2 linked regions of the Drosophila melanogaster genome follow. The protein of the gene in region 2 interacts with the protein of the main gene of each other region in a pairwise test. Each region holds a gene or a part of one and is shown on either strand. Other genes may lie near its edges.

Region 1 (4,267 bases), on a different chromosome or scaffold from region 2:
CCATTTAATGAGTTCGAGTAGTGCATCTGGTGAAATATCCTTAAATCGGAAATTAAGAAAACTCTATGAATGCAAATTCCAGATACATAAGGCTATATATAGTTTTATATTTAAGCTTCAAGTTTCATATGAATGCTGATGCGAATCTTATTATGAAAGCGCACGTCTTGCCAGAGTACAGATGGCATAGTTCTTCTGCAGATAAATAATCAGTTAATAAACACCAACTGGTTATTGGCGGATCAAATGATAATCAACCGCCGATGATTACCTTCACCTTTTTCACTCCACGCCCACAAATTAGCCAGATCGATTATTGTCAATCAAGTGGCGTGATCTCGACGAAGTGCTCTCTACCCATCAATTTCCATAACATTCATAACTAATGGAAACCATAATTACCCATACTTGGAATCAATTTGAAAGTGAATGTGTTCTGATCAGAAATGCCAATCAACTAATTAATTGTAAGATAAAACAGAATAATCAAATTAAAGATCAATCTATGTTTTCAGTTCCTTTCTGTGCAGTAAAAAAACGAAATATTTGAATTTTTATAATTCTCTACATTTTGTATTTATAGCATTGTCAGCCGTTTCAGCTTCAAACTTATAGTATACACAAAATTATTATAATACATGTGTTTTTTTTTATTATTTTTTTTTACATTTTGTTCGTTTTTCTTCATCTTTTCAGGTTGGTTCTTCTTCGTGGGCGTGTGGCAGGATGGGCGTTTGTTCCTCACTCGATGTTTTCATTATTTACAATTAAAGAGAAGGTTGATTAACAAACAAAAGAGAGAATTGCGCGAAAGCTGAGACAGAGACGGCAATGTGTGTGTGTGTGTGTGAGGGAGACAGAGGCTGCCGGGAAAGTCCGGGGAATCCACGGCAGGACATGATGGACATGACTGTGGTACTGAGTATTTTAGCAGGCTTCGTCAGTGGATCGATCAGCCGTTTTGTGAGGTCGTCAACGTGCTTAATAAATTACAGAAGAGTGGTGTTAGCGGTGCAGGTGGTGCTTCAGGTGGTGCATCCAGCGGACTGCTCCACTTCCTTAGTAGTGGGCCACATGCGCGTGAGCGTTGTGGGTGGCGTATCCGTAGGCGGGCACCTGATGCGCCAGGGATCCGGCGTAGGGCACGGCGGGAGCGGCGGCCACATGGTGGGCAATGGCTGGGGCATAGGCCGGAGCGGCATGGACCACGGCGGGAGCGGCGTGGGCAACCACAGCGGGAGCGGCGTGGTGCACAGTGGGGCCGGTCTTGTGGACGACGGCGTTGAAGCCATTGTGGTCATCGGCGGTGTACTCCACGGTGCGCACCGAACCATCGGGCTCCACCAGAGAGTAGGATCCCTTGACGACATCACCATCACGCACTTCGTGCTGCGACTTCACGTCTCCGGTGTGAGAGTCAGCCACTCCGTAGTTGTAGTGGTACTTGGGGTAGGCCTGCGGATTGGCGTAAAGATTCCATGAGAAGAGTACGGGCCTGCTAGGATTGGGTGCTAATTTTATGTGCATGCCACACGCCACTCGAAGCAGCTGGCCATGCTAATGAAGCTAGCGTGGGAAAATGGCTAAATGGCAAATGCCACAGTGACCCTGGGCCACCAGCATCCACAGAGGAGTGGGTGAGAGGTTGTGCGGACTGATGGTGTCAGTTTTAGGGCATATTAAGTATAATTTTATGATTGCATGAACAGCCGGTAGGCTGTATAACTTTTTCGGGCTTACAGGTCGTATGAGTAATGTTTGCGGGAGGGATTACGTGTCGTATAAGTAATTTTTATGAGTCAAGATGCATGCATTTCTTAGCTCTGGATGGTATTGTAGTCGTTTGATTTTAAAAGAGCAATAAACTCATGATGCACATTTTCAATTAAGAGGAAGCTTTTCAAAATGTATGTTTTAAACAAGTCAAATGGATTCCAATAGTAGGACATTGATTTTCTTTAAGAGTTAGTAATCCTCATATGCGCTACTTTGAAAGTTAATCCTTTTTGGGTTATCTTGCCCACTTACATGGTAATCGATTCCCTCGTCGTGGTGACCATGGCCGGCATAGATGGCCGGGGCGGCGGCGTAGAGACCAGCACCATGTCCGTGGAGGACTCCGGCGGAGGCGGCGCTCAGGACGGCCAGGCAGATGAGGGACTAGATCACAGGGGATAGGGGTTTGTTTTATTAGTTTGCTATTTCGATTGGATCACAGGGCACTTTTGGCTGTCACAGGGCTGTCCTGTTCACTCACTTTGAAGAATGCCATTGTTTGGATTTTTGGGATTTTGTTTCTTGCAGACGCGAGTGTGTGCTGTACGTTGAGCTGGATTCAACTGATAACTAGAACCAAGAAGGAAGCCGCTTTTATATACAAGACAACGCCCGAGCGGCCCAAACCGAGCCGAGTCACAAAAAGCCGAATGCCAGTCGGTCAGCAGGGGCAAAAACAAAACTACAATGAAATACCAGCCAAAGCCGAGCTTTGCGGAGCGAAGCCCAAGAAGTTGAGGCCCCCACAACGCCCCTGCAACGCCCCCCCTTCCCCACCAACAATTCACAATTATTTAATGCTTTTCAGCGAAAAAAAACGAGAGTGAAGTTCAGTTCAGATGTGGAGCGACTGTTGGCTGGCTGTGGTTTGTCTTTGGAAATTGTCTGATTTCTGAGATAACCGGCGATGTATGCAAATCGAAGTCGAAATAATTGTGAAATGGAAGGGAAAACCTCACTTAATGCGAGTTCTATCTGCTGAAATCAATACTCGTATTAACATATCAAATTGGCCATTATTAAGGCGTATTAATTATGAAATCATGATCGGAAAAAAGTTGGCTATCTATATATTACCATCTCCCATCACGATTTAATTGAAATGGCCTTTGCAAGCTCTAAACTACCTAGCAAAAACAATCTTCGCGCACGAATAAAATTAGCCGTAAACACAAATATTTATGAAATAAAAAGACAATGGCTGAAATAAGTTAAAATTGCATTTCGGTGGGCGGCGGTGTTGCAGCCCCCTCCTGAAAATCCCCATGGTTTTTTTCTGTTGCATGTTGCAATTTGTTCGCTCGTCTGTTTCGTGGGCTTCAAGTCGAAGTTTTCTATGTTCTACGTTTTCTGTGCCTTATTTTGCTTGCAGCGGGCGTCGTCTGTCAAATCTTTTGGTTAATGTGATAGTACACTGCCAAAAATGGTTTGAGGTATTGTAGATTAATTTCGAAGTCTTAGTAAAACATCAGTGGTATCATTCCACTAAAACGAGCTACTGACTCATGAAATCCCATAAATCTTGAGATATTTTTGCAATACTTTTAACTAAAGTCAGCAAGTGGCTTTGTTCTTCAATTGTTTTCCAGTGCACTGACTGTTGTTCCTACTGACACTTTTTTAATTGCCATGTAGGCCGTTTTGCTTATTAAACCCATCTGGGAAAGACAAGAGGGGTGTGCTATGGGGAGGCCACCACCCGAAGACGCTGTAGAAACGCCTTTGAAGTGGGGCGCAGCGTGGCGCCACATCATTATGGCCAAAATAGACGCCAGTTCAGCCCCAACTCATTACCAGGCCAAAACTACGAACAGTAAAAAAGCAAAAGCGTTTGGTTTTGTCATATTTTTGAGGGCTGCCTTGCTTTGTTTTACGGCATATTTGCGCCAGGCTTATGCTACGTACTTGCCCTGCTTCGACTCATTTAATAAATTGTCTCGAATTAGTAGCTCGGCTCTGACATTCCCCCTTTGGTGCCCCCCCCCCCCCCCCCCCCTCTGAGCCACCATTTATGCCAGGCTGGCCATCGCGTACTACAAATTGAAGTAATCATCTCAAGGTTAGCACGACACAGCAGCAAACGACGTGTAACGGATCACTAACAGTTTTAATCTCAGCAGGGGCGTAGTTAAAAAAGAGGGTTTACTTATCCGAAAGTTAGTCCAGATTACTTTACACATGTTGATTTTCGTAGAATGGGCAGTTGGGAATGGTTAGTTGGTAAGTAAGTAGACAATGAGCTTCCTTAGAATTTAATTATATTTCTTTAAAGTTTCCCATCCCCCCTTTATGATATACCCCTCTAAATATTCAAACTGCATCTTTGAGTTTGCCTGAATTAGAGCACGATCTGATTGCGTCCTTTGTTTGCGGAAAATGACGCACCGTCGTGGCCAATTAATTGAATTTTTGCAGTCGAGACTTTGAAAAACTAGGTTTCGATTGGGTTCGAGCAAAAATGCTGTAATTGATTGCCTTTTGATGGAAGATT
Region 2 (4,725 bases):
TTTGAAATAAATTTGAGCCGAAAAGTGGGTGAGTGTTACTATGACCACTGGGCTTATGGCCATTATTTTGAGCTTAATTTATGTGATTACCTTTTTTTTGCCAGCTTAAATAGATTAAAGGTATTTTAAAAACAAAAAAAAACAGTTTTAAGCATATTAAAGTTACTTAATACGATATTTTATAGAATAAATCCGTTGCCTTATTTATTTAGTGTCTGTATAAATAATGTATAATATAATGTATAAATATCATTTTTTTTCAGCTGTTCAAACATATTTATTTATTCTCATTGAGTTTTTAAATGTATATTTTGGTGCTTGTATTTATTTTCTTTACTTTATCCCATCCAGGCCAGCCCACATAGAATCCTTGGCCCAGCTTGCACAGGTATGTCCTTTTCCACACACACTTACATAGATGCGATTGTGTACATGTACACTCTCAAACAATCACATACACGATGAATTTTATTTATATTTCATAGGAACATAGGATTTCAGATAACATGAACTTTAGAGATCTAAAGTTAGGTAACTTACTTGATATTGTTAATCTGCCAGTTCTGCGAAAATGTTTTTAAACCATTTATTCTATTGTTTAGTTGTTGGTTAGGATGAATGAAAAAATGTAAACACACTTTTGTATGGTACACACAAACACGCGAAAAGGAACATGAACACAGATGAAGTTAAGTTGACTGTGGGCTTATTTGTGTTTATAGATGGGTGCCAACGTAATCACAACCATTGTTCACTATTTGGATTCATAAATCTTAAGTTTCACTCGAGTTTTAATTATTTTAAATGCGAAAACACAGAAAAATAGGCATACAAATTTACAGACGCTCGAATTTTGCTGTCAAACGGAGCAGACAATCTCTTGCTCTCTCTCTCGCCGTTCCTCTTTCCATGCGTTTCGTCCTGCGAGAGCGAGGCAGCTGTTCGAGTCCTGTAGGGAAAGGTCCTTGTTGGTGGTGAGAGGACATTCGCAACTGTCAAAATGACAGCGAAACATTCACAGAGCGCAGGCGCATGTTTCGTTTCGTTCCAAAACGTTTAAAGGAGCATATCCTGCGATTCCAGCAGGGGTTGCAATTCGCACACCCTCTCTCGCACCATGATTCTCTAGAGAAAGAGAGTGAGAGGGAGAGAGAGAGAGAGCAGACGACAATTACCTGAAGAATTGGCATTAGCCCATTTTCGTTGCGTTATAAATTGCGTTTGTCACTTTGGAGCATTCGCAGACTCGAGAGGTCCCAAACACATACGCATATCCTGGGTGTGATTTTACATTTCCACCCACTCCACCCACTTGGCAATGCCACCCCAAAAATACCCCATCTCCATGCAATTACATTTAACTTTCCTTGAGCAGTCTGCTGGGTTGGAATTAATTTTCGATTTTATTGTCAGTTAGTCAAACCCACTTGCTTAGCTGTCGCTGCGCCTGACTCTGATTTAATTGAAACTGCATGAATATGCAATTTCGGGCTATAAATTGAAATCTCGATTTCTCCGCCCACCCCGTTTTTTTTTATAGCCTTTTGGAATTTTCACTTTTAATGGCTCTCAGTTGGCTCCTTAGGAGTTTTCAACACACACACACACACTACGCACTCACATATTTGTACAAGTTATAGAACAGACTGGAGGCCAATGTGAACACACCTGAACATACACATATATAAATCCATAAAAATACTGCTAAAGAATCCGAAGGATGTGGGAAAAGCTGGTGAACTGCATCAAGAGCAATGGTGGCAATGGTGGCGTCAAGAATGTAAGCTGCCAAGTTGTCGAACTGGCGGATCTGATGAAACAGGTGCCGCCGAACCAGATGCACAAGTTCAAAATGTTTGCCAAGAAGCACGAGGAGTACAAGGAGTAAGATGGGGTCACCAAAAACAGGGAATTGGGGTCACCTGGGGGAGCATGAATTAAGTCTACCTTAGAAGGGCAGGGTCTTTACTAATTATTTAGGTTACAGCTTATGTTGCTTTATATGAGAATTATTTCCCATTGTAGAGAATAATATAAATATATTTTATAGCCGCGTTCGTAAGTATCCGGAATCGATGCCGACAATCGACTGGGAATACTACCGTCAGAATGTGAGAGAAGAGTTTGTCGATTGGGTGAAGGGATACGAGACCAAGTATGATAAATTGCATTCCGTATTCGAGAATCGACATGCCATAGTAGATCACAAGCGATACTTTGAACTCGTCGATGAAGAAAAGAAGGTGGTGACAAAATGTATTAGCGAATACAAGGCGGAGTCGGATAAAAGAATCCAGGAGCTAACCGAAAAGTTGGAGTTCGTGAAGGCAATGCGACCCTATTCCGAAATGACCATGGAGGAATTTTGTTTTGCCCGTCCGCACTTGGCACCCGATTTCATCAACAAGCCCACTTTCTGGCCACACACTCCTGAAGAGCAAATGCCAGGTCCATCGGATCCAGAGGCAGCAGCTGCTTTGCATCACGAAGAGGAGCCCGAACCGCCAAAGAAACCAGCTCCCGAAAAGTTACCAGATAAGCCTAGTGGAGAAGGAAAGCCTCCGGCGGCTGCGGCTCCAAAGGAGCCAAAAGAACCCGTTGTCGACACCTCTCAGTTGGCCGAAAAGGCCACTTTAATCGCCAAAGATTTGATGGCCAAAGCTATTGTTCTTTTTAATAGTCTTAAAGAAAAGATGTCGGGTCTGGCCAAGAATGTTCAGAAAAAGGCAGACGCCGCCAAAGCTGCGCGTTCCGAAACTGCCAGCAAATCCGCAACGCCTACAGCCGCACCAACCAAGTCACTGGACAGCATTACGGAACGAGAGTCTGGACCGAACATCTGCAACCAAACTATAATACGCAGCGAGGAGGCAGAGGCCAATCCGGAGGTTAAGGCCAGGCATACTAACCTTTCCATTGAGGCGGATCCTTGCGATGCCCAGGAGGAGCGAGCCAGGGAGATAGCTAGGACATTGGAGCGCAAGAGACAATTAAAAGAGGCGGAGGAATGGGAGAAACACAAGACCAAGAAAGATCCTTGTGACGCCGAAAAGGAAACTGATCCTTGCAAGCTCATGGAAGAGGAAACCGTTTGCAAGCCAGATCCTTGCAAAGCGAAAGAGGAAGAAGCAGTCTGTAAGCCAGATCCCTGCCAGCAGAAGGAGAAAGAAGATGACATTTGCAAGCCCGATCCTTGTAAGCCGAAGGACGAAGAGGGCTCCTGTGAAGATGAGGAGGATCCTTGCAAGAAGAAGCCGAAATGCGATGGTGATTACCAATTCGGTGGTGACAATGAAGGCGGTTCGACAAAATCGAAGCAGCAGGACCAGGTCTTCATCAACATATCCGAGTGCAGTAAGGAACTCGCCAAGCAGGAAGAAAAGAAATCTGGTGATTCGGGTAAGCCCAAGGAAAAGGCATCACTGTCAGAAATTCCACAAGGATCAGATCAAAAACCCGTGCTTGGCATGCAGATAACAGAATCCAAGGACTCTAAAAAGGATCACAAAGCTAGTATTGAAGGCGCAAATGAAATTGGTCCTGTGTATACAGATCCCAATCAACTTGCAGAGCTGCTAGTCCAGAAAAAGGAAAAACCAGTTATAATTGAAGAAGCACAGAAGCCCGAAGATGACAAACCAATTACCATATATCCCAAGCTAGAGATATCAGCCAATCCGAAGGGCGATCAAGTCAAGCAAGAAGCTGAAGGACAAAAGTCACCCAAGGATATGGCCAAGCAGGTGTTCACAATGGCCTCAGGAGCTGCTACTCTACTAACAGAAGCCACCAACACACTGGAGGACTTGAAGAGGAAGAAGGAGGCTCGTCTGGAGGCACTGGAACAGGCCTACACTTCGGCCCAAAGGCAGGCCCAAGGAGCTCTGGCCGAGGCATCGAAGGCCGTGGAAGCCGCCAACAATTTGGCCATAAGATCTGCCGAACAAACTGGCGAAGTGAGCAGCCGAGATCGCGAGGCATTGGAAATGGCCGAAAAGCATGCCATTTTGGCCAAAATGCTGGCCGGACGTGCAGTGGCCTTGAAGGACGAAATCGCTCGAGTTCTCAAGGATCTTAAGAAGAAAAAGTAATCAGCACAAACACTATTTCGTAATAATTTTCTACCAATTTGTGTTAGTTGTTTTTCGTATTAAATTTTATGTTACATTTGTTTACCGTTCAAAGTTTCGCTTTCATTTGATTTCGAATCTCGTTACGTTTGTTTTCATGCAAATTTTTTTCCAGGCCAGCTTTGCTGACCAAAAAGTTGGTTGGTGGGCATGGGCAATAAATTTATTCTTTTCCACTAGCTTCGCTTTGCTGTTACGGCTAAAAAGTTTTCTATTTGGATTTTGCAAGCGAAATGAGTGTGAGGCGTTTGTAGATTGCATAATTATGCTAATTTTGTTGTTTATCCACCCGCCAAGTGTAAAGGGGTATAGTGTGCGGATATGAAAAGGTGAGTTTACAGAATTATCAAACCTGTTTTTACATCTCTGTATGTGTTTACTAAAAAGTGCATTTGTATTGATTGTTTTACAATAATTGAAGGTGAGTTTATCCTACCTTATCACAATCTTACCTGTAAAAAAAGCAGGGTATAACCAAGTCAAACTAGTCCACTTTTTAGTTTCTCCATTTTGTTTGGCATTTCAAAGCAGCCGTTCGAAAAGTGTTGCCTACATTTTGGCGCAGGGTTTTCGCAATCAAACACATTTGCATAAT

The links. The genes of interacting proteins can lie anywhere in the genome.
Region 1: the proteins of knon (region 2) and Cpr62Bc interact in a two-hybrid assay, tested with the Drosophila melanogaster proteins (one large-scale study listed by BioGRID).

The regions. Positions count from the first base shown.
Region 1 is NT_037436.4:1,839,733-1,843,999, forward strand, and holds Cpr62Bc (cuticular protein 62Bc), read right to left. Parts: upstream 2,353-4,267; 5' UTR 2,273-2,352; coding exon 2,258-2,272; intron 2,161-2,257; coding exon 2,029-2,160; intron 1,456-2,028; coding exon 1,060-1,455; 3' UTR 549-1,059; downstream 1-548.
Region 2 is NT_033778.4:16,496,345-16,501,069, reverse strand, and holds knon (knotted onions), read left to right. Parts: upstream 1-1,640; 5' UTR 1,641-1,720; coding exon 1,721-1,884; intron 1,885-2,050; coding exon 2,051-4,091; 3' UTR 4,092-4,181; downstream 4,182-4,725.